Callithrix jacchus: one gene and its partners. The protein of the gene in region 5 purifies or fractionates together with the protein of the main gene of each other region. This does not show direct contact. Links are inferred from orthologs where the notes say so. Each region holds a gene or a part of one and is shown on either strand. Other genes may lie near its edges.

Region 1 (4,888 bases), on a different chromosome or scaffold from region 5:
ATCTGCTTGTTAGATTGATTTGTGTGGGTCAGAGAGGAGCAAAAATAGATTACTAGCCCCTAATCTCAGGGGGAATACACACATTGGGATACCCTCTACTGATTTCTTAATGTTTTTTATTCATTATGAGAAATGCATCTGACTTATTAATTAGCATACCTGAAAACACTCAAAATTGACTCATTTCACCTCTACTAGTTCAATTTTCCTTATGTCAATGCCTATCTTTCATGTTCCTTATGGATTCCTGTTACCCCAACATAAAGCTCACAACTTTCCAGGCTAAGCTATACAGATATCATGTTTCCAGGGATACTGCATTACCTGGTTGTAGTTCCCTCTGTTGGGCATTCCACCTCTGTTGTAGTTCCCTCTGTTTGAATAACTACCACGGCCAGGAAACACAGGAGCACGAGGGTATGGATAGCCGATTCCACCGCTTCCACCGCCACCACCACCTCTCTGTGGCATGTTGCCCCTCCTATTATATCCACCACGATTCCCAGGGGCTAAAAAACGAGAGATGTTTTGATTTAATTGCATTGTATACTACCTACTTATACAAGACTTGGGATTCCTCTAGACTGTTACTTTTTCTCAAAAAATAATCATCAAATCACATCGATACCTTAAACTAGTTCCTGTGACAGCACAGCATTAATGAGGAAGAAACTACAGCTACATCCAAACTACATCCGAATTTTTTTTTTCAATTTTTCTTTAGAGGCTACTTCAAATCAACCGAACTATAAAAGTATCACTTGTTTCGATCCTGGATGGAATATAGAACACTAGAAATTAACTCGCCTCCTCCTCTGAAATTTCCGCCACGCATATTGAATCCTCCACGTCCTCTATGGCCACCACCCCTGTTAAACTGGTTCTTGCCACTCTTATTTTTATTGCTCTTCTTTGAGCCAGTGTTCTGTTTCTTTTCTGGTGGAAGAGCCTTTTTGCTTTCTTCCTTATATTGCTCCAAAAGCTTTTGGGCTTCTTCTTTCTGAAGTTCAACATAGGTTATTTCATCAAAGCATTCGGCTACCTCTGGGAGGGTAAAGTTTCCTGCAGTAAACAAAGTCGTATTATTAACTTAGAGACCCACCACAAATCCCGCAACCCTAAAGCTAACGATTCTTGAGGCTTAGTAACTTTATTTTCCTCAACAGAAATAGACCAAACATACAGGCATATTTAACGAGTGCAATTGTAACTCTTGAAACAGTATTGCTGGCAAAAACGTTAATTTTTCAGATACGTAAACCATAGAGATTTAATAGTTACATAAGCAGAATAAGCATGGGGAAAAAGTTTTAAAAAAGATTTAACACAGTCACAGAATTCAATTTCATGCCTTTCATTTTGAGGACTGCATGTTCTGGTAGGTCTTTCCCCTCTACTTCTGCTTTCTTCTGTGTTCTCTGCTTATAGTCTTCATCTTTTGGGCAAACTACAACAGCTTTTCGCTGGAAGCCTGCAAACAGGCACATTTTTCTCCTCTGGGCAGCAGCAGACACATTTGTCTTTAAAAAAAAAAAAAAAAAAAAAAAAAAGAAATTGTGTTTATAACTATAAACGCTATTAATTCTACACCAATCTATCTCAGTTACCAGTTAATATTTTTCCATTTCAAAGCTACAGCATACCTGATCCAGAATAAAATTTCGCTTCTTACGGGCAGCAATCTCAATAAATTTCCCAAGACACTGTGGGGCTCTCTGCAACAGTGTGTTCAGTTTTCCAGTATCTGCCATTTGCTTCTTAAAACCTGCCACCTATATATATTCAAAAGTTAAAAATTTTAAAATTCAACTCTTATCTATATGGAAAGTAGGCAACATTTTATAATTTTAAGTATACCTTTGTCCATTACTAATACAAAAACAAGGTCATTTAACTATGTAACAAGACCCTACTCAATTATTTTTAGCTGCTAGATGTTAAGAGCTCAAAAAAACTATGGAAAAAATAAAAGACAAGACAAGCCTAGCCAAGGAACCAACTTAATTTTGCCTTACCTCCTATTTCTAATATAACAAAATGGATAAAGACAACAGGCAAAAGGTTTACCTAGAATACCTCCTGGTTTTTTTTTTTCCTGAGACGCACTCTCGCCTCACTGCAACCTCCACCTCCCTGGTTCAAGTGGTTCTCCCTGCCCCTGCCTCCCTCAGCTGGGATTACAGGTGCCCACCACTATGCCCAGCTAATGTGTATATTTCTAGTAGAGACGGGGTTTCACCATGTTGGCCAGGTAGGTCCCTAACACTTGGCCTCAAGTGATCGATCCACCCACCTTGACTTCCCAAGTGCTGGCATTACAGGTGTTTGAGCCTGCACAATCCAGCCTTTCCTGGTCTATTTTATAAACACTTGAGATAAAGCCCTCAACATTTTACTTACCATCATTTTATCCATAATAGTATTTGTTCCAAGAATGTTGTATTTCCCTGGATTTTCTGCTGCATGCTTGGTAACCCAGGTAGTTTTTCCAGCTCCTGGCAAGCCAATCATCATCACAACCTAGTGAGAAGAAAGAAGTATCATTTCACTGTCTAGTCATTCGACATCACCTAATAATCTTTAAAATACTGTCTTTTAAAGCCAATTTAAGTATTTAGGTTTTCATAGTCCTTACAATAAAGGACAAAAAAATGTGTGTTTATAAAAAGATTAACAGTTAACACAATGGGGAAACACAGCTAACTTAAGAGAAAAATCCAATTGAAAGCAGTATGTATAGCAAAAAGTAAACGAAACAAATCATCTAGCTCTTCTCAATGTCATTTGCGCCAAGCAAGCAATATTCAAATGCCACCGTTAAAAAAAATCACTTACTTCACAATCTTTCTTCTCTTCAGGCCCCTTTGGTCCTCTAACTCGATCCTCTAAGGGGACATTCTGGATAAAAGTATACTCTTCCGGTATTGGAAAATATGGCTTTTCCTTCTGACCAAAATTAAATTCAACTGCACAGTTGTGGCAAAGAACATGCGGAAAGAGTGGCCGTCCAGCAAGAACTTCCTTACTGATTTTGAAGGCAATGCCAAGATCCTGTCCATTCTTAGCATAGGAGAGTTCTACATCGTCACTTTCAAAGTTCTGTTAAACAGAAAAAATTTCAACAACTAAAATCTGCTTCCTATAAACTTTCAAAGAACTCCAGAATTAAATGAGCAGCAGGCCGGGCGCAGTGGCTCACACCTGTAATCCCAGCACTTTGGGAGGCCGAGGTGGGTGGATCACGAGATTGAGACCATCCTGATCAACATGCTGAAACCCTGTCTCTACTAAAAATACAAAAAATTAGCTGGGTGTGGGGGCGCGTGCCTGTAATCCCAGCTACTCAGGAGGCTGAGGCAGGAGAATTGCCTGAACCCAGGAGGCGGAGGTTGCGGTGAGCCGAGATCGCACCATTGCACTCCAGCCTGGGTAACGAGCGAAACTCCGCCGGGAACGGTGGCCCAAGCCTGTAATCCCAGCACTTTGGGAGGCCGAGGCGGGTGGATCACGAGGTCAAGAGATAGAGACCATCCTGGTCAACATGGTGAAACCCCGTCTCTACTAAAAATACAAAAAATTAGCTGGGCGTTGTGGCACGCGCCTGTAATCCCAGCTACTTGGGAGGCTGAGGCAGGAGAATTGCCTGACCCCAGGAGGTGGAGGTTGCGGTGAGCCGAGATTGCGCCATTGCACTCCAGCCTGGGTAACAAGAGCGAAACTCCGTCTCAAAAAAAAAAAAAAAAAAAAAACTAAATGAGGAGAAAAGTTTATCCTGTGGAAGTTACAGGTTAAAGAACTATTAGTTAATTCAAGGACAGGCAAACAGGAAAGAAAAAAAAAAAAAAAAAGACCTATTAGGAGGCCTCTAAGGGCTAAACAGTTAAGAAATCTGACAGTTGGCCAGGCATGGTGGCTCACACCTATAGTCCAGGTACTTTGGAGGCCAAGGCAGGCAGATCACCTGAGAGGTTGGGAGTTCAAGACCAGCCTGACCAACATGGTGAAACCCCGTTTTTTTTTTTTTGTTTTTTTTTTTTTTTAAAAAAGGGAAAAAAGAAATCTAACAGTTAAGGCCTGGTGTGGTGGCTCATCCCAGCACTTCGGGGAGGCCTGGCCAACATGATGAAACCCCATCTCACCATGGGTGGTGGCTCACGCCTGTAATCCCAACACTTTGGGAGGCCAAGGCAGGTGAGTCATTAAGTCAAGAGTTTGAGATCAGTCTGACCAACATAGTGAAATCCCCATCTGTACTAAAAATACAAAAATTAGCTGACCCTGGTGACATATGCCTGCTATTCAGGAAGCAGAGGAAGGAGAATCACTAGAACCTGAGAGGAGGAGGTTCCAGTGAGCTGAGATCACCCTACTGCATTCAAGCCTGGGTGACACAGTAAGACCCCCATCTCAAGAAAAAAAAAATCTCATGGTTATAAACAATCAAGTCTCCAGAATCAGAAACAATGCTGACCTACAAGCTAGACTAAATTTTCTAGGTCAATTTCATGTCTATTGTTTTCAGTCAGAATGAGTTAGTGAGTTCCTCAAAAAATGCCCTATATTTTCCCAATTCAACTGCTGAACAAAGTCTTTAAAACTAACTCAGAACTGGTTATTTATGTTGCTCATACTGAAGACTGACCTCAGTAAAGCTTCTTAAAAGTTCCTAGACCTAGCTACTAGCTTGCCATTTATACATAGAAACTTAGCTATAACTTACAGCAAAACATGTAATCACATCATTTTCATCAAACTTTTCTCCATAATCTTCAGTCTCACAGTTGCATGTTTTTATTCCTTTTAGAGAATATCCGTAAGAAAATTCTTCTTCACCTAAGAAAATAATTAACCTTCATGAAGTCGATTTTTAAAATAGCCCAAAGACCAT
Region 2 (4,888 bases), on a different chromosome or scaffold from region 5:
GGCCAGCACAGTGGCAGCCCCACAGAAAGCACGGGGGCAGGGAGGGAAGGCGGAAGGGTTCCAGTGGAGCCCTGGCCTGGTGCCCTGCCCTCGGTTTTCCCACCACCTCACCGCTGACATCGCGAAGCCGGGTCATTAGAGGCCGGTGGAGCCCAAGCGGAGAGGCTGCTGCCTTTCCCACCGGGTTCATCCTTCCCCTCCTGCGATCAGCAAGATTCTCAGAAAGCATACGGATCGGGGCAGGAGGGACAAAGGGCACCCAAACAAGGAAAGGGCTGTGGGTGCGGGGAGGCTGCGGGGGCGACTGGGGCGGGAGAAGGGGTGCCTCGCTGCTCCTGAGCTGCCTGGCTAAGCTGGGCTGGTGTGCGGTGCTGAGTGATCTTACCCATGATACAAACCCTTATACCAACCATACACTGAGGTGTTGTAAGGGGAGCGTAAGCATCAGCTGCAAGCCAGCTGCGTGGTGGCTGCAGTGACAATAAGAACAGTCAATTAATACGGCGGCCCCTGGACACGCCGCAGCCCTGCCCGCCCTCCCCCACCCATCCCTGCCCATGTGGACGCCGCGGCAGCCTCAAAGGGGGCTTTGGAACTGTAGGGGCGGGCGCTCAACATGCCTATCACCCCACTGCCCGCTGAGGAACAGGGTGGGGGGCCAGAGCTGGGGAGGCGGAGGGTTGGGTGGCCCAGCCCCAGTTGTACTGGGGGGGAAGAGAGGGCAAGTTCAAAGGCCAGTCGTCACTGGCAACCTGGCCACCCCCAACTCCAGTGGGGGGAATAATGGGGAGAGGTTCCCCCAAAATCCGACCCCTCCCCCCACCTCCGGCTGGCCCCAGCCCCCCACCCAGTTCCCTCTTTGCCCCTGAGGTTCAACGTGTGACACTTACCTCCCCAGGTTCACACACACACACGTTGTGGGGGATTTGGTTTTTGTTTTTTAAAAAACACGTATATAAAAAAAAAAAAGATATATCAGAAACAGAGGGAGGAGGAGAAGAGACATCGCTAATGTCAGGTGTGGCAGGGTGGGGAGGGGACAGACTGGGAAGGGCTGGGGCAGCAGAGAAGTGAGAGGGTCAGAGGGCAGCGCTGCGGCGGGTGGTACTCACAGTGCATGTCCCGCTCGTGTTCATACTCGATGAAGGCATAGCCGCGGGGCTTTCCCGACCGCTTACTGTAGACCATGTGGATCTGCAGGCGTGGGGACAGGGCTGAGTCCCGACACAGGGCAGCTCCGCCCCACCCACCCCACATCAGCCTGCACGAGAGGCCCGGGGCCAGACCCTCTCTGTCCTTCAAGAGCCCCAAGTGACTTATGATCTAATAGCAGGAGCAGAGGGCACAGAGGTGACTTCCTGGAGAAAATGACATGTAAGCTAAGACCTAAAGACCGAACAGGGATGAAGGGACAGTGATGAAGGTGTCTGCCTCAGCCTCCCAGGTAGCTGGGATTACAGGCGTGCACCACCACACCTGGCTAATGTTTTGTATTGTTAGTAGAGATGAGGTTTCACCACGTTGGCCAAGCTGGTCTCAAACTCCTGACCTCGTGATCTGCCCGCCTCGGCCTCCCAAAGTGCTGGGATTACAGGTGTGAGCCACTGCGCCCGGCCAGGGACAGGGGAGTTCTAAGAGAAAAAGAAAGGACGTGTGCACAGCCAGGGAGGCCTGAGAGAATGTGGCGCACTAAGGATGGGTCCCATCTGAGGATGGCAGCAAGGGAGGAAAGGGGAGACGTGAGATGGAGGTCCACGAGGCCACATAGCTTGAGGAAGGGCCCTGGAAGGCCAGGCAGTTGCACCTGGACCTGTCCTAACATGCTAGGGACCCATGGGAGGTTGTGTGCAGAGGAGACAGGGTCAGCTCTGGATGGCAAAAAGACCCCCCTGGGACCACGTCAAGGAGAACAATGGGCAGGGCAGGGCTGTTGAGACAGAGGAGGCCGGGATGAAGTAGGGAAGGTTTCTGGGAGGTGAGAGCATTTGGGCTGGTCCCTAAAGGATGGCTAGTTCTCCATTCATGTCACTACCAGTTGTCGACCAATCCAAGTTGCGTCGTGGATGAGCTCACCTGGTCCTAGGACTTGAACCTGGGACCCCGTAGCCTCCAAAACCCAACTGAGATTCCTGACTCGAATGGGATCAAAGGGATGAGGGCAGGGCCAACGTTGTTACTGGGCTGTGCAGGGCATAACACGTGTGCCGTCTTTATATTCGTGTATATACACAGGCACGAGCCACCACGCTTGGCTAACATTTTGTATTTTTAGTAGAGACACGGTTTCGCCATGTTGGCCAGGCTGGTCTTGAACTCCTGATCTCTGGTGATCTGCCTGTCTCAGCCTCCCAAAGTGCTGGGATTACAGGCATGAACCACCACACCCAGCCTATAATACTTTTTTTCTTTCCTCTTTTTTGTGGAGGACAGGGTCTCACTATATTGCCCAGGCATGTCTTCAATTCCAGGGCTTAAGCTGGCCTCCTGCCTTTGCTTCCCTAAGAGCTGGGATTACAGGAGTGAGTCACTGTGCCCGGCCTGACGTGTATAAACATATATATATATATATATATATATATATATTTTTTTTTTTTTTTTTTTTTCTGAGAGGGAGTCTCACTCTGTCACCTAGGCTGGAATACAGTGTTGTAATCTAGGTTCACTGCAACCTCTGCTGCCTGGGTTCAAGTGATTCTCCTGCCTCAGCTTCCTGACTAGCTAGGACTATAGGCGCACGCCACCAAGCCTGGCTAATTTTTTTATATTTAGTAGAGACAGGGTTTTGCCATGTTAGCCAGGATGGCCTGGACCTCTTGACCTCGTGATCCACCCACCTCGGCCTCCCAAAGTGCTGGGATTACAGGCATGAGTAATCCCAGCCACACCCCGCCACAAATATTGTTTAAAAATGTATCAGAAATAGAGGAGAACAGACACAGCTAATGTCAGTTTTTGTCTAATGTCAGTTTTCGTGTGGGACGGTCTCAGACTCTTACTACTGCTCAGTGAAGACATTTGTCTCCCACTTTAGGTAAAGAAAATCAGGCACAGAGCACTTAAGTAACTCAAAAGAAGATCAGTAAAACAAAGTCTTCCTCTAAAACAAGAGTCCGCATACACATTCTGCAAAGACCAAGAGAGTAGCTTACTTCCAGCTGTGACAGCCTTCTATTCTGCTGTAACAACCCAAACCTGCCTTACGACAGTAGCAGCCAGGCCGGGCGTGGTGGCTGATGCTTGTAATACCAGCACTTTGGGAGGCTGGTAGATCACAAGGTCAGGAGTTCAACACCAGCCTGGCCAACACAGTGAAACCCCGTCTCTACTAAAAATACAAAAATTAGCTGGACGTCGTGGCGGGCACCTGTAATCCCAGCTACTCAGGAGACTAAGGCAGGAGAATCACTTGAACTCAAGAGGTGGAGGTTGCAGTGAGCCGAGATTGCACCACTGCACCCCAGCCTGGGCAACAGAGCTGAACTCTGTCTCAAAAAAAAAAAAAAAAAAAAAGGCAGCCAAAGACAATGTATAAACAAACAGCTGCCCAGATGAGCCAGTAAGACTGTATTTACAAGCAGTAAGTCTGCAGTTTGCCAGCCCCCTGCTCTGAACCAGCCCCCAGCAGTCAGTCACTACAGTCACTACCTCTCATCTGACTCCTGCTCCCCAAGGCCTGCTGCATGCAGATTCACTCAGGGTACATCAGCCCGGGCCCTGAAATGCTGCGAGCCAGGCCCAGGGCTGGGAGCTCGCCTCCCTTTCAGGCTACAGCCCTCCTCCACGCACGCCCCATTCAAACACCCTGACCCACTCCACTTACTCTTTTGATGGGTCCATACACCTCAAACTCTCTCCGGAGCTTGGACTCTGTGGTGTCATAGTTCTACAAGGAGATGGAGACGACGTTAAACGGGAAACGGGAGGTCCCCGGAACGTCCCCTGGGTCCTAGCCTATCTGCCCTTTGTCCCAGGCCCAGGCTCTCGGCAGCTGGGGACTTACCACTCTTGCCACGAAGAGTGTCTTGAAGGCATCCCCCTGAGCATTGGGATCATTGTGGGGGTCCCCTGTGTAGGAAGAAAGGAATTTTGTAAGCTGAAGGTGTCCACAGTCTCAGGGAGCAAAACAAATACAGATGGGCAGAGGCCGAGAAAAAAGAGAGGGCACTGGGAGAGCCCCTAACTGGAGGAACATGGGTGGTGACCTGGTAACTTCAAGCATGCCCCTCTCTGAACCTATTTCTCTAAGGCACAGTAGCCTTTACCAGAGTGGCTGAGAGATGATAATCCAGGCTGCTGAGGGGAGGAGGTCAGGCTGACTTCCAGCTGACAGGGTATGGCAGGCCCAACTACCATTTCAGACCTACAGAAGCCACAAGGGCCCCATTGCTCCCAGATGCAAGGTGATCCAAACAGTCCAAAAGGGCCTCCCTGGAGATACAGCTGATGCCCCCAGGTTCTGAGGTCCCTCCATTAGCAGAGCCACAATGCCACCCGCTGGACACAGACTGCAACTACAGCCCACAGGAAAACCTGAGACCTACGGCTCCAAGGCTAAGAATGAGAGCCAGGAGAGCCAAGCTTATCTAAGGCCTGCTTTCCCGTGTGCCCTGTGTCTCTAAAAAAAAAAAAAAAAAAACCCAGGGACTGACGAGCATCAAATGAGATTCTCACTCCAGCCCCATTACTGTTAGGCAAACTGTCCTATCTGGCTACTGAGGAATAACAATCTCCAAAGAGAAGAGCCAGGAGTCTCCTAAGAAACCACATCCACAGGTGATTGTGCTGGGTCAGGCCTGGGAATGAGTCCTTTTCCCCAAATGGGATGGCCCCGGCACATAATGACCCTGACTGCTGTTGGGCTCTCAGGACACTCTGCCCTTTCTTCCTT
Region 3 (4,888 bases), on a different chromosome or scaffold from region 5:
TCACAGAGAAGCTAGTAGTAGAAATTATTTACATCTTCTATATAAGAACATGGGGACAAAAGGGCCAAATGATTTATACATGGGACCCAAAATTTAGCAACCCAAGCCAGGACTTAGAACTCCTCGCTATGACTTTTGTACTAAGATGGTTACGCTCAGCTGCTGCCTTCAATATTTGGTTCCATCAACATTGAAAGCATTTTACTTTGGCATTTCTATAATACGGCACCATTAATAGCTGTCTTTACCCATAATACCCTAATTAAACAACCATCTTTGGGGCTGGCAGTATACATAATGAAGGGGCAACAGCCTAGTTCCCAATAGCTAAGTAAAAATTTAGGTTATGCCATTTTTTTCTTGCATTTTCTTGATTTAGAAGTTAAACAATGCTCACATTTCCAATTTACCCAAGTCTGTATCTTTCTGACACAAGCACAAATCTCGAGAAGTATAAATGTTTCTACCTCCAAATCGACTCTTTTATCACTTTTGAACAATAAAGCAGTCAATCTAATGATTTCACAATACTATAAGTTTGCGATTTTTCACCTGTTTAGACTAAGATTTTCCAAAGTATGATCCAATTAATGTTAGGCTGAAGGAGAATAAACCCTATATTAAAAACAAAATGAATTTATCTGCCCTTTGTGCCAAAATACCTCAAGAATAGTAAGAATACTGAATTCAACTGTAATTAGACCTAAAGAGATAGGGAGTTTAAAAAATTTAATGTACTTCAGAAAGCATATAAAATTGAGAGCACAAAACCAAGAATGTTAAGTCATAAAACAAATTTATTTTAAAAATCAATAGCTTGCATTTCAGATATACAGATATATCTTTTACCAGAAGGTGAAAGCACCTCTTCCAGAATCTGCTTCCAGCAGAGTCAATACTGATTTCTAAACTGGTTGCTTAGGTCTTGGAGCTCTGTCACGAAGGTGTCCATAGCTGTTATGTCATCAGCTAATTCCCTGGAAATTTCTCCAGTTGCTACATCTGTAAAAAGTTGCTGTAATATAAAAAACACAGCAGAAATATTAAAACAATGAAATTTCTTTGAAGTAAAATAGTTTAAAAACCTTTTGCATAATAATACTATACAATTGTAATAGCAATGGTAGTGTATTTTTCTGTTCACTGAAATGTACAAGCTACAATAATTAAATGAATCAAAACAACAGGCCTCAACTTATAAATTCAAATGAGCTCTGCTCTTCAAAGCAGTTGTCTAAATACTGGTTATTAATTTCAATGTTATAGGATAGTTTTTGGATGAATAGACATAATTCAACCAAACAAAACGAGTTTATTTATTGTGTATACAGGCAAAACAAACATATTCTATATTCAAATTCATATAAATCATACCCTTTATGCTACTTATTTGGAAATTAATTTGGCTTAGGCCTCAGAGACCACAAAGATTATCCTAGCAAAAAAGTCCAGCAAAATAAAAATAAGTGTGTCCTCTCCCTGAAGAAGGAATTGCCTTGGGAGGTTTATTGCAGCACGTTCCAGTAATGCTACCACGGCTGAAAACATTGTGAAATGCCTCTCCAGGAACTGCCTCCTGAGCCAACATAGACACCCAAGAAAATCAGCTTCAGGATTTTATGACCCCCCTTTGTATGTGTGTGTGTGTGCCCATGTGACTGTGTGTATGTTTATTCAGAAATATAATTTACGTAGTTTGCCATATATCTGTTTCATTGGATTTGACTATATGATTTGTATAGCATTTCATAACAAAATGAAGTAGGAACTGCTCCAGTGTCATCTGTAAACACCTCTTAGGAAAATAATCTAGCCTCACATAGTTGTTTTTTTTTTTTTTGTATGTGTTTTTTTAAACTAAGAATGACAGTGCTTGCAAATCATAATCAATCTGCATCACTTCCCTGTGGGGTAAAGAGGAAGCACAGAGAAACTGAAGCTTAGAAAAGAATGAATAATTTGCTGACAGACTCTCCAGCACTCTCATGAACAGCCCCCCTCCTGCCACTCTTGGCAGCAAACCTGTACAAGGACAGGGTGCAAGTGGGCAGGGGAGTCACTGTGTCTTGGGGGAGCATGGACTGGATGATTTGTTAGGTGAGTCTCTAGGTACTAGTAGCTTATTTCCACGAAGTCCCTGGCCTGGCAAGAAAATTCATTCATTCAATTACGCCCATTTAACATAGGCTGTAAACAATTTAACAGAGTTATCCTCATTTATTTTCAATCTTAGTTCATTTCCACTTTCTAAAGTGTTCTAAAAAAGTGACTTTTTTGGAATGCAATTCAGTTTGACAAACCCAGTTCACTAAATAGAAAAGGCATATGATCTACAAAACCTGAGACTCCCACATATATGTAAAACATGCTTCAGAGGAGGCACTGGGAGGTAATTTTTCCCGTTTTTGGATAACCCAGATGGCATCTAATGAGAACGAAAATCTAAACACAGATGATGTTCTGAGGCCACATTTTCATTATTTGGCAATCTACCATAATATGGAAAGACGTACAGTACCTGCACAGACAACACTTTTCCAGTCATGTAAGTATAGATTTATATAAAAATAATAATTTATAAGAAAAAGCTTCACACAGACAAAAGGAAGCCACAGTATATCCTGAAGAAGTAAACTGTTGTGGATGCCTTAGCGATCTAATCAAGAGTAGGAAACAAAGTTCCAACTTTGGGAAGGAAAGTCACAGGAAAAAACCCTGCTGCTCTGACTTTGAGGGAGCTCTTGTAGATGATTGAGAGACACGATTCTGGGTTGTACTGCCAAGCTAGGAGGAAATACGGTTCTCCTGGGTCATGCAGATAAATAGGAAAAGTAAAATAAGTTAATTATCTAAAGAGGAAAAAATGATGCCTTGATCTGAAAAGATCAAACCATTAGTAAGAAAAAACATACTCTGGAAAGACTGTTTCAGAGTACGAAGGTATTCAGAAGTGGCCTCCGTGTGCCAGACTCACTCTCAGAAGTCAGTCAAAATTACTTTGCAACCCAAGATTCCCATAATGAAAGCAAGTAAAGATTAGAAAAGTAAGCACTAAATTGTGCTGGAAGTTATATTTGTCTAAATTTTCTTCCAGATGTATACTCCAAACCTGGCTGCACAGTAAAATCACCTAGGAAATTTAACAGATTTCCTGGGTTCCATCCCATTCCTGAATCTACATTGGTCACAGATAGAGCCCCAGAATCCCATCTTCAATAAAGCTCCCTGAGTGATTCTTAAGCATCTCCCGCCTCGCACTGGTCCAAAAGTTAGTCTTTGTGAACTAAAGGCATATTTCAGTTGTCAAACCTGAATCACCATCTACCTTAACAATTTTGGTCAAATCCATATACCTCCTACTTAAAATTTTTATCTAAGTCAATTTTTTTAACTTACTTGACTCTTTTTAAAAGGAAACATTACATCACTATTGTAAATACAAAATAAGCAATAATATTCATGAAAATATAGGTTTGATGTGCTAGTCTACGTTTTTCTAATATGTACTGAAATAAATATATATTTAAACCGAAAGTTTACCAGTGGCATATATGCCACACTTTGGGGAAAATGACAATAAATACAAGAGCGTTGTTTTAACATAATTTAAAGAAAGCATTAAGGGCTGAATGGTAAACATTAATTTCAAAGAATTTTTTTTTCTTGGAGACAGTGTCTCACTCTGTCACCTGAAGTGCAATGGCACAATTTCAGCTCACTGCAATCTCTGCCTCCCAGGTTCAAGTGATTCTCCTGCCTCAGCCTCCTGAGTAGCTGGGATTACAGGCACCAACCACCATGACCAGCCAATTTTTGAATTTTTTCGTAGAGATGGGGTTTCACCATGTTAGCCAGGCTGATCTCAAACTCCAGATCTCAAGTGATCGCCCACCTCAGCTTCCCAAAGTGCTGGGATTACAGGCATAAGCCACCACACCCGGCCAATTTCGAAGATTCTTAAGTCACATACATTTAGAGTGGTCTAGCCATTGAGCCAACAGGATCCTTATTAACACAATCAACCATAAGGGCGCTACAAAATAAAATATAACATGCGCCTAAAATTATCACTGATGTAAAGGATTTAATAACTAGCAATAAGTTGATACTAATGACCTTTTTCTATTTGACCATGGCAACTAATTCACATGTCATTCTCACCTTTGCTTTAGATAACAAGCCCCGTAAATTGAGTCGAACTGAAGAAAGCATTTGAACAGCTTCTTGGGGACTGGATTTGTTTTTACTGCATTTTATGGCCACTGGAAGATAAACATGGAAAGAAACATCCATTAAAAAGTGGTAATGATAATTCACAGGTTCAAATGCCAATTACTTAATTAGAATTTTATAGTAACAGACTTTAGAAATACTTCCTGGAAATTTTTTATGTTTGAAAAATAATAATAATTATGCACATAACTTTTCCCTTTATCCTTCTTTTTTTTTTTTAAAATACAGGGTTTCACCCTGTCGCTCAGGCTGGAGGTAAGGCATGCAGCCTTGAATTCCTGGCTTCAAGTGATCCTCCTGCCGCAGCCTCCCAAAGCACTGAGATTACAGGTGTGAGCCTTTGCATCTGGCTTTTCTATACTCTTCTTTAAGAATGATAATTTACTGTTCCAGGAAATTTTGAAAAAAAAAAAAAAAACAGGTGATTTTTGGTGAGTTATGGATCACTGGGAAGAGACCCTAAACACCTATACACACATGCATTAAAGCACACACATGCACACATGTGCACAGACAAATAAAAGTAGGCAAGGAGACAAAATGTTATTGAAAACAAAGTACCCAAACAGACATAAACAAATGCAGCACATCTTTGTGTGGCTTTCCAGGCTACCAAGTTCCCTATGGCAGCTTCACAACAGCCGATGACACAAGC
Region 4 (4,307 bases), on a different chromosome or scaffold from region 5:
GTGGAACCACAGTGATTACCACAAGAACAGCAGACCTTGGCTTTTCTGTCCTAACAGGAAGCTAATTCGTCCTGGTTAATCCCACCATGGTCCATGAACTGGTGTCAGCCACAGTGAAGTCTGCACTAATCTACTGTGCAAGCACTTACGCTCCGTATGTCTGCGGTGAAGGCATGGGGCCACCTGATGCCTTCCTGGCCTCTGGCTTCTCTGGAACCTTCCTCTGAGGAGGGTTGCTGATTGCCACTTTGATGACATTCTCTTTGATAGTCATGCCGTCCATCTTCATCACAGCCTGCGACGCCTGGGATTCATTTTCATACTCTACATAGGCCAGGCCCTGGAAGAGGCAAGATCCAGAACCAAGTCAGATCCTGCAGACCCAGGATACAACCTCCTCCCACAGGGCAGGCACTGGGCCTCCTCCTGGAGACCAGCAGACCAGGACACAGCAGACGCCCCACCAACAGATTATCTTCCCCACCACCACATCCTCTGTCTACAGGCTTGTTTCCCCACCCTCCTCTCCTTCCCTATTGCTGTTACGCACTGTAACTTCAGATAACCCTTCCAAGTTCAGGACACGTGGTATGTGCTGCGGAAGTAGAAAGAAAGAAGGAAACAGACAGATGGACCAGTATAAATCCAGCAAATAAACCAAGAGGTGGACGGAACACAGGGTGAGCAGTCCAGGTGCCCAGGTGAGCCCTCGTGTTTCTGTGCCCTTACACCGCACCCCGCCCCCCCGTTTCATCTTCTTTTTCTCTCCATTAACCTGGATAAAGGGGAGGAGGTAAAGTGGGCAGTGGGTAGACAGTAACACAAAACCACTTACTACTCAAAATGGGGCACAAAAGGACTTAGCAGGAGACTGCGGGGCAAGAAGGAAGGACATGAGAAGACGTACTGCAATGGAGGGACTCAAGGGGCCTGGCTGGAGGCCCCAGGGAAAGAGAGGCCTGGGAAAGAGGGAGGAGGCTACACAAGGTGCCCACCCCAAAGCCTGTGTGCTGCTGGTCACAGGGCTTCCCTCAAGCCCCACAGCAAGGGGCCAGAGTATGGTGAATTCATGATCATCTATTTCCAAGTGCCTTATTCTTTTTAGTACAATTAACTACAAACAGGTTAATCTGACTCCAAATATAAGTAGAGCTAAGTGTGCAGATCTTTGTTAAAATAACTTTTCTCAGCAGATGAACTAGGAACCCACCCTAAAGGTAAATAATCTTTGAACAGATACAAAAACGAAGTTTGCATGAGTCTTGAAGAGGCACAGTCTGCTCTAACGCTGACCTTTGGTTTGCCAGCCCTATTGGTGACCAGCCTGAGGTCCTTCACGGTGCCATGAACCTTACAGATTTCCTCTAGTTCCTCTTTAGTGCAGGAGAAAGGCAGGCCCGAGATGAACAGCTTGTGTTTCTCCAGGGAAGTGCTGTACCTGAACACCTGTAGGAAGGAAGGGAGAAAAAAAACCATGATTCAAGGCCTGACCCTGCTCACCTGACTCCTCTGACACCAGCCTTGTCCCCAGGAGCATGCCCAGCCAGGCAGACCAGAGCCAAGCCATGCTGAAGCTTGTTAACAGAGCCACCGGGCTGAGTCATTTAACCTCTCTAGCCTCCATGTCTTCCTCTGTAAAATGGCAAGAATAAAAGTGGCCAGTCACAGAGTCTGATAAGGGTTCAATGAGGTGACATACATACAACACATTTAGCACAGTCTCTTGTCACTACCAAGCACCCAGCAGCAAGTACCTATGCCATGAGTCAGACCTCAGTCAACCAGGTCAGCATGGACCTCGGCAGACAAGGAAGTTTAGATCCAAACAGCATAAAACTTCTGTTTATATCCTAAATATCACTGCTGCAGGAAGGAAGTCCCTACAGCAATCACAGATACAAGGCATTCTGTTTTTCCATAAACCTACCTTAAAATCGGGGTTTTTGCTCTTATCCACACAGGGGGAAACAAACATTGGCCTCCCCTCTACACTTTTACGGTCCATCTCCAGTGCCTGAAGGGCTGATTTCTCTTCTTTAAACTCCACATAGCAGTAGCCTCGGAAATCCCCACGGTTGCTGAAGATGGGTCGGATCTGGACCACCTCCCCACAGGCCTCGAAGAGCGGCTTGAGCTTCGCATCCGGCTCCTGCATGCTATAGGGCAGGTTGCTGACAAAGACGGTGATGCTGTCCTTGCTGCTATCGTGCAGCACCTTGGGCATGTCCCTCTTCAGGGAGGCTGCCTTCTCCTTCTGCTTCGAAGGGGGCTCCACATCTACAACAGCACATTTCCCAGCGGGCCCTGCTGCTGATTCCATGTTTTGTGTTTCTCCAGCTGCAGGGATGCTGTTCTCCACCCTTCTGCGTTTGGAAGGCTGCTCTACAGGTTTTCAAAAGAAAAAATAGCCTTGGTTAACCGTTACCTCTCTTTGGGGAGCTTGAACAGAGGTGTGATGTGAATGAGCTGTGACAGCTGCATGTGACACTCCCTCGCCAGACACAGAAGAGCAAGCATCACCCGGAGAAGTCTTTTGTGACCCGCCTGACCTGTCCCACGACTTTCTGTGTGCCCCAGTTATACTCGGGTAAGTGGGCTCAGTCAAGTGGAAGTAATAATATAAATCCCCATTGTCCACTCTTAATTATACAAAAGGCCAGAGGGTCTCAAAGTTCAGAAAGCAAATCCCAGGGCCCCTCTCCTACAAAAGCCCAGGTCAACAGGGGTGGGACAGGACATGAGAATCTGCACTGGAAAAGCACCCTAGTAACTGATGCCCATGCCCCACAGAGCACATTTTGGAAAGCACTACAAAGGGTCTGTGATTTCTAAAACACTTTCAATATTACCTTGTGTCCTTAAGAGAGCTTAACCACAATCTTTTACTCCAGTCTGTCCTCACCACTGCCTCCAGAGGGCCAGGACTAAAGTTCAACAGATGTCTGCCTCCAGCAAACAGACCTCCCCATCAGTTCACCCAACACTTTTGCAGTGAGTGGAAAGCCCTGCACGCTGCTACTGTATTCAAGAGCGCACCTGGGCTGGGTCCAGCTGACTGGCCCGCCTACCACTCCAGCCTCCTCAAACACTGCCCCATCTCTTCTCCATGTATCCAAGTTCAAACCCAATTATTTGCTCTTACAGAAATTGCCAGGCTGTGATAGGCCTTCAGGCTGTGCTAACACTGGCTCCCTGTCTAGCTCGGCCCTTCCCTTCTTGATGCCAGACAGTCACTCAGTCTCCCCGCTGGATTTCAAACCTCTTCCCCTTCAGTCTTCCTGGTACAGAGCTAGCCTTCTTTGGCCTCCACCACTACTAACAATTCCATTTCCCACAGTCCTGATGACATGCCACCGTGGTCACATATCACATTTGCCTTACTCTACTAAACTGGGAGGCCTGAGGGGCAATGAGCCCCCCTTAGTTATTAAGGAAAGCCCAAACAAGGTGTGCAAGCAAGGTCAACTCAAAGATGGATGACTCCATTCCCAGTTCTTTCTGGCTCATACATCTGTACCAAGAAAGTGTACAGAGTCCCTTACACATCCAGAGACAATTCTTTTTTTTTCTTTTTATGAGATGGAGTCTTGCTCTGTCTCCCAGGCTGGAGTTCAGTGGTGCGATCTCAGCTCATTGCAAACTCCACCTCCTATGCTCAAGTGATTCTCTTGTTTCAGCCTCCCAAGTAGCTGGGAAAACAGGCACCTGCCATCATGCCTGGCTAATTTTTGTATTTTTAGTAGAGACAGGTTTTCACCATGTTGGCCAGGTTGGTCTTAGATCCCTGACCTCAGGTGATCCACCCACCTCGGCCTCCCAAAGTGCTGGGATTAGATATGAGCTACGGCACCCCGCCATCAGAGACAATTCTTTACCTTAACTGACTCTGAAATAAATATGACCCAGAGCTGTTCATCCCTAAAATTACAAGGGTGAAAGAAACACTGCTGGAAAATTCCACTAAGTCACAACCATTAAAAGCAGGGCCAAGGCTGGGCATAATGGCTCATTTGTAATCCCAGCACTCTGAGAGGCCAAGGCAGGAGGATCACTTGAGGTCAGGAGTGCCAGACCAGCCTGGTTAACATGGTGAAACCCCATCTCTACTAAAATACAAAAATTAGCTAGGCATGGTGGCCGGCACCTGTAATCCCAGCTACACAGGAGGCTAAGGCAGGAGAATCACTTGAACCCAGAGGTAGAGGTTGCAATGAGCTGAGATCACACCACCACACTTGAGGATGGAGAACTGAGAAAGACTCACTCTCAAAAAAAAAATTTTTTTAATAAATAAATAAAGCAGGGCC
Region 5 (4,888 bases):
TGAGGGTAAAGGGTCAAGGCAAGTTAAGACCAGGCTGATAGCCCCAGGAACAAGACAAACCACAACTCAATGGAGAAAGAAAGACAGTTGGCCAGGCTGACAATACTCTGCTGGTGTACATATAGGCTGGGAGAAGGGAGTCAGTGACCCACGGGAGGAAGGGGCCAAATTTCCTCTCACTCAGACAAAGAAAAAAAGTATGACTGCATTAAAGTATGGGACTAATGGAGAACACATTTTTTTTTAGAGACAGAGTCTCGCTCTGTGGGCCAGGCTGGAGTATAGTGGCATGATCTTCGCTCACTGCAACCTCTGCCTCCCAAGTTCAAGCAATTCTCCTACCTCAGCCTCCTGAGTAGCTGGGACTACAGGGGCAGACCACCACGCCTGGCTAATTATTTGTATTTTAGTAGAGATGGGGTTTCACCATGTTGCCCAGACTGGTCTCAAACTCAGGCAATCCTCCCACCTCAGGCTCCCGAAGTGCTGGGATGACAGATGTGAGCTACTGCGCCACGGTTCTGGGTCTCAACTCACCTGTGCAAGTTATAGGCCAGGTCAATGGCAATGAGCACACCTGTGGGCGAAGGGTAGATACTCATGTTGTCTGTGGTGTAGTCCAAGAACTTGGCCCGGGCGTAGCGCTCAATGTCATGGGAATCGTAGTCCCCCCAGCGCAACTGGATGTCAATCCAGTATTTCTGGGTGGTGGTGCTGTCCATCACATCCCTGAGGATGAAGAGGGCTCAAGCTTCTAGAAAACCATGCTCATAACCCATGTCCCCAGAACCACAGACTTCCTCATCACTTATATCCCAAAACCATCCCACCCACCCCACCAAGTTGTTCCAGATCAGCAAGACCCCAGAGGGTCAGCAGATCTGACTAAGGGTATTGACAGGCTCCCAGTTTGAGAAAGGCAGACAGGGCCAATTCCTCAAGTAGCAGTGCTGGAAGAACAGTCAAACTAAAGTTCCCAGATTCCTAGGGCTGTGGCCTGAGGCCCTTACTTGGAGTCAGCCAGCAATGAGGGCCGGGAGACATTCCACTTATAGGAAGCAAAGAGCAGGATATCCGCACAGGACGAGTTCATCTTATATGACTTTCGGGGATGTATTGTTTCCTTTTGTACTGTCTCAATTTCCAGTGCATCAAGTTCCTGGTCAAACACCTGAAGCAAAAGATGTAGAGATGAAGGCTTGTCAGGAAAGCCCAATGAGAACGAGAGTGTGCAGATTTCAGATGAGGCAATGGGAATCTCATCCTCAGAGCTTCCAGCATGAATTTCCCATATCAAGAGAGCAAGCCAGGCTGACTTCTGATGGCACCCCTTGATCCCAGCCAACCTGACATAAGTCCATGACGATGCTCTCATGGATCTTCTGCCACAGGTGAGCTCGGAAGATCTGGATGAGTGAGATCTTCAGCGTGGGGATCTTGCCATGCATGAAGATGCCCGTCAGGTCGAGCTGCACCTGAAAGCCTACATACACCTGGCAGGAAAGACAGTGTGACATCAGAGATTGAGACTCGGGCGCTCGTGACATAACCCAGGAGAAACAACTGTTTTCAGCTTCCCATCTCCAGTCTACCAGTCACACTCACATTGGCTCGATTGATGGTTGGGGACCACCAGAGGGTGAATCTACGATTGGGAATCTGGTTCAACCCTGATCGCTGAGCATTAGTTAGCTTCTTCCACTTCATAGACTCCTCAAAGCCACTGGCCTTCTCCCTGGGGAGCAAGAGAACCAGGTGAGGTGATATCCTTCCAGCTCCCAGCACACAGCTGACCTCCTGGAGGTGGCTGTCTGGGAAACACCACAGAAGACCACGGAGGCACACAAGAGACGAGCTCAAAGGGCTGTGACAGGTCTCTCTGAGAGGAGAATCCTCACCAGAAAAGCCCCTCCCAGGTAGGGAAGTAAGTGCCCTTGAAGAGCGTGTGTTCTAGAATGCCTTCCACACCGCCCAGGGCCTGGATCATGTCTGTACGGTAGTTGTTCAGGTTCCAGAGCTTCCCATCATGCCGCTGGTGTGTCCACCAGAACGGATTCTGCTTCAAAACCTAAAAGGCAAGGCAGGCACGGTCAAGTTTCTGGGTGCCCACTGCCCCAAGTTTCCGGGACAGCCATGGATTTTCCTGATTCAGGGAAAATCTACTCCCGCCACATACCTGATACTGCTTAAAGTCAGTTCTGACACGCCAGCCCTTATCATAAGCCAGTGTGTGCCGATCCTTCTGGAAGAGGGTATTGATTCGAGGAATGCCACGATCCCATGAATCTTCTAGGTCTTCTAAAGTCAGCCGTCTTCCAAGAAAGAAAGATTAAAGTCAAAACACTTTCTCATATCAAGAGCTCAACACTCCTTCCTAGCCAAAAATAATCAGGGTCAGGAGTAGAACCAGCCTCTCACCCCCATAAAAACATGGCATGCTTTAGGCCTGAACTCCACACAAGGTTCAAAGGCCACCTCCTGCCCCTGCCCCATGGTTGGCATGCCCTCTAGGTGCCCACCTGTTCTGAGCGATGGCCTCCTGCCTCTTGAGTGCATACTCAGCCCAAACCCGCTGGGAATCAATGAACTCACTTTCCCATGGCTGTATGTAGCGGTACAAGTTGGGAATCAGTTGGTCTTCCTCATGGCTCATTCCTGAACGGAAGTGTGTGATACCTACATCTGTCTGCTTGGACCACCTGTTTGGGGATACAACCAAGATGAGAGAAAAAATAAAGCCTAAGACTAAAGAAATACCCAATTCCCTTAGGGCCTGAGCAACAGGACTTAGAAACAGGTGTAACCAGGCTGTACCTGAGGTCGGACTGGGGGATGAGCACGTGACCCATGGAGAGCATGCCGAGTCCACCCAGCTCCTTAGGGGTGTAGAACACAACTGGGGGGAACCGACTTGGCATCTTGGAGTTGAGTCCAATCTTGATACGTGTCTGGATCTTGTTCTCACACTTCACCAGCAAGTCCAAGAGCTCTTGGGTGTTCACCACAGCCTCCCGAAAGTATGTCATGAGGCCAATGAGAGCTGTATTCCACTTATTCACAATCTAAAGACAGTAGGAAAAAAAGCAAATGACAGATGGGCCAGGGGCGGGGAGGGTGGAGACAACCTGACCCAGTTAGTTTTATCCCTACTACTCAAGAAAGATTTGAGTTCAACATCATTAGTCACTAGGGAAATAGAAAGCAAAACCACAATGAGGCTGGGTGCAGCGGCTCATGCCTATAATCCCAGCACTTTGGGAGGCCAAGGTGAGAGAACTGCTTGAGCCCGGGAGTTGGAGACCAGCCTGGGCGACATAGGAAGACCCTATTCAGTAGGCTGAGATGCTAGGATCGCTTCAGGCCAGGAGTTACAGGCTGCATGAGCCATGATCATACCACTGCACTCCAGCCTAGGAGACACATGACTGTCTCAAAAGAAAAGAGAGAAAAGAGAAAGCAAAATACTTTTTTTTTTAGGCAAACAAAAAGCAAAGCCTTTTGGGCCAGGTGCAGTGACTCATGTCTTTAATAATAATACCAGCACTTTGGGAGGCCAAGGTGGGTGGATAACCTGTGGTCAGCAGTTTTGAGACCAGCCTGGCCAACATGGCAAAACCCCTTCTCTACTAGAAGTAAATACAAAAATTAGCCGGGTATGGTGGCAGGCACCTGTAGTCCCAGCTACTCGGGAGGCTGAGGCAGGGAGAACTGCTTGAACCCAGGAGGCAGAGGTTGCAGTGAGCCAAGATTGTACCATTGCACCCCAGCCTGAGCGACAGAGTGAGACACTGTCTCCCAAAAAAAAAAAAAAAAAAGAAAACCAAAAGAAAAAGGACACCAGATGGAGCTATACAAAGTAGTGAAGAACACCAGAAATAGTAATTACGTGGTTAAAATGTAAAAGATATTTTTTCTCATTTTGCAATTTCTATAAAAGATAAAGGCTGTTTAAAGCAAAAAGAGTAAAAATATTGTAGCACTTATAATTCATGTACAATTAAAACATTATGACAAAAATACTACTAAGAGTGGGAGTGGAAGTTAAAGTGTACCTTGTAAGGCTCTTGTATTATATGTAAAGTGATTGGCAGTAGATTAATGGTCACAGATCACCGTAAATGAGGGATGTATACTATAAACCTCAGAGCAAACAGTAAGGAAAAACCATGTAGCCAAATAAATGAAAAGTGGAGATAAATTAGAATCACAAAACAACTGAATTCAGAAGGCAAGAAAAGGGAAAACAGAAAGAATGAAACAAAAAAAAGATGGATAAGATGGTAGATATAAACTGAACTACAATGCTACACTGAGAGCATTGTAACTTAACCTTAATTGAGATATTTATACCATATTTGTGCAGTAAACACTATCAAATTAGATTAAATAAAAATCAGGCACGCTGGCTCACAGCTGTAATCCAGCACTTTAGGTGGCTGAGGAGGGTCTTGGGGTCAGGAGTTCGAGACCAGCCTGGCCAGCATGGTGAAATTGTTTCTACTAAAAATACAAAAATTAGCTGGGCGTGGTGGCACATACCTGTAGTCTTAGCTATTTGGGAGACTGAGGCAGGAGAATCACTTGAATCTGGCAGGCGGAGGTTGCAGTAAGCCAGTATCGCACCACTGCACTCCAGCCTGCCTGGGTGACAGAGTGACAGACTCCAACTCAAAAAAAAAAACAGGCCGGGCATGGTGGCTCACGCCTGTAATCCCATCACTTTGGGAGGCCAAGGCAGGTGGATCATGAGGTCAAGAGATCAAGAACATCCTGGCCAACATGGTGAAACCCCGTCTCTAGTCTCTACTAAAAGTACAAAAAATTAGCCTGGTGTGGTAGTGCGTGCCTGTTGTCCCAGCTACTTGGAAGGCTGAGGCAGGAGAATTGC

Evidence for each region. Proteins that work in one complex are often made in the same cells at the same time.
Region 1: the proteins of PRPF8 (region 5) and HNRNPU fractionate together in Homo sapiens (co-fractionation; 3 studies listed by BioGRID, with this or other methods). This does not show direct contact. The link is inferred for Callithrix jacchus from reciprocal best matches to the Homo sapiens genes PRPF8 and HNRNPU.
Region 2: the proteins of PRPF8 (region 5) and SNRNP70 fractionate together in Homo sapiens (co-fractionation; 3 studies listed by BioGRID, with this or other methods). This does not show direct contact. The link is inferred for Callithrix jacchus from reciprocal best matches to the Homo sapiens genes PRPF8 and SNRNP70.
Region 3: the proteins of PRPF8 (region 5) and TTC27 purify together in Homo sapiens (affinity purification with mass spectrometry; 3 studies listed by BioGRID and IntAct, with this or other methods). This does not show direct contact. The link is inferred for Callithrix jacchus from reciprocal best matches to the Homo sapiens genes PRPF8 and TTC27.
Region 4: the proteins of PRPF8 (region 5) and SART3 purify together in Homo sapiens (affinity purification with mass spectrometry; 4 studies listed by BioGRID, with this or other methods). This does not show direct contact. The link is inferred for Callithrix jacchus from reciprocal best matches to the Homo sapiens genes PRPF8 and SART3.

The regions. Positions count from the first base shown.
Region 1 is NC_133520.1:41,334,276-41,339,163, reverse strand, and holds part of HNRNPU (heterogeneous nuclear ribonucleoprotein U), read right to left. Parts: intron 4,834-4,888; coding exon 4,721-4,833; intron 3,100-4,720; coding exon 2,836-3,099; intron 2,521-2,835; coding exon 2,401-2,520; intron 1,773-2,400; coding exon 1,644-1,772; intron 1,521-1,643; coding exon 1,352-1,520; intron 1,063-1,351; coding exon 808-1,062; intron 510-807; coding exon 325-509; intron 1-324. UniProt on the Homo sapiens protein: DNA- and RNA-binding protein involved in several cellular processes such as nuclear chromatin organization, telomere-length regulation, transcription, mRNA alternative splicing and stability, Xist-mediated transcriptional silencing and mitotic cell progression.
Region 2 is NC_133523.1:42,910,214-42,915,101, reverse strand, and holds part of SNRNP70 (U1 small nuclear ribonucleoprotein 70 kDa), read right to left. Parts: intron 4,066-4,888; coding exon 4,001-4,065; intron 3,884-4,000; coding exon 3,821-3,883; intron 1,195-3,820; coding exon 1,113-1,194; intron 1-1,112. UniProt on the Homo sapiens protein: Component of the spliceosomal U1 snRNP, which is essential for recognition of the pre-mRNA 5' splice-site and the subsequent assembly of the spliceosome. SNRNP70 binds to the loop I region of U1-snRNA.
Region 3 is NC_133515.1:82,201,560-82,206,447, forward strand, and holds the end of TTC27 (tetratricopeptide repeat protein 27), read right to left. Parts: intron 4,263-4,888; coding exon 4,162-4,262; intron 1,016-4,161; coding exon 893-1,015; 3' UTR 780-892; downstream 1-779.
Region 4 is NC_133510.1:111,409,483-111,413,789, forward strand, and holds part of SART3 (spliceosome associated factor 3, U4/U6 recycling protein), read right to left. Parts: intron 2,383-4,307; coding exon 1,928-2,382; intron 1,447-1,927; coding exon 1,294-1,446; intron 341-1,293; coding exon 150-340; intron 1-149. UniProt on the Homo sapiens protein: U6 snRNP-binding protein that functions as a recycling factor of the splicing machinery. Promotes the initial reassembly of U4 and U6 snRNPs following their ejection from the spliceosome during its maturation.
Region 5 is NC_133506.1:66,573,161-66,578,048, reverse strand, and holds part of PRPF8 (pre-mRNA-processing-splicing factor 8), read right to left. Parts: intron 3,063-4,888; coding exon 2,815-3,062; intron 2,700-2,814; coding exon 2,520-2,699; intron 2,313-2,519; coding exon 2,177-2,312; intron 2,069-2,176; coding exon 1,899-2,068; intron 1,736-1,898; coding exon 1,606-1,735; intron 1,494-1,605; coding exon 1,347-1,493; intron 1,172-1,346; coding exon 1,011-1,171; intron 730-1,010; coding exon 538-729; intron 1-537. UniProt on the Homo sapiens protein: Plays a role in pre-mRNA splicing as core component of precatalytic, catalytic and postcatalytic spliceosomal complexes, both of the predominant U2-type spliceosome and the minor U12-type spliceosome.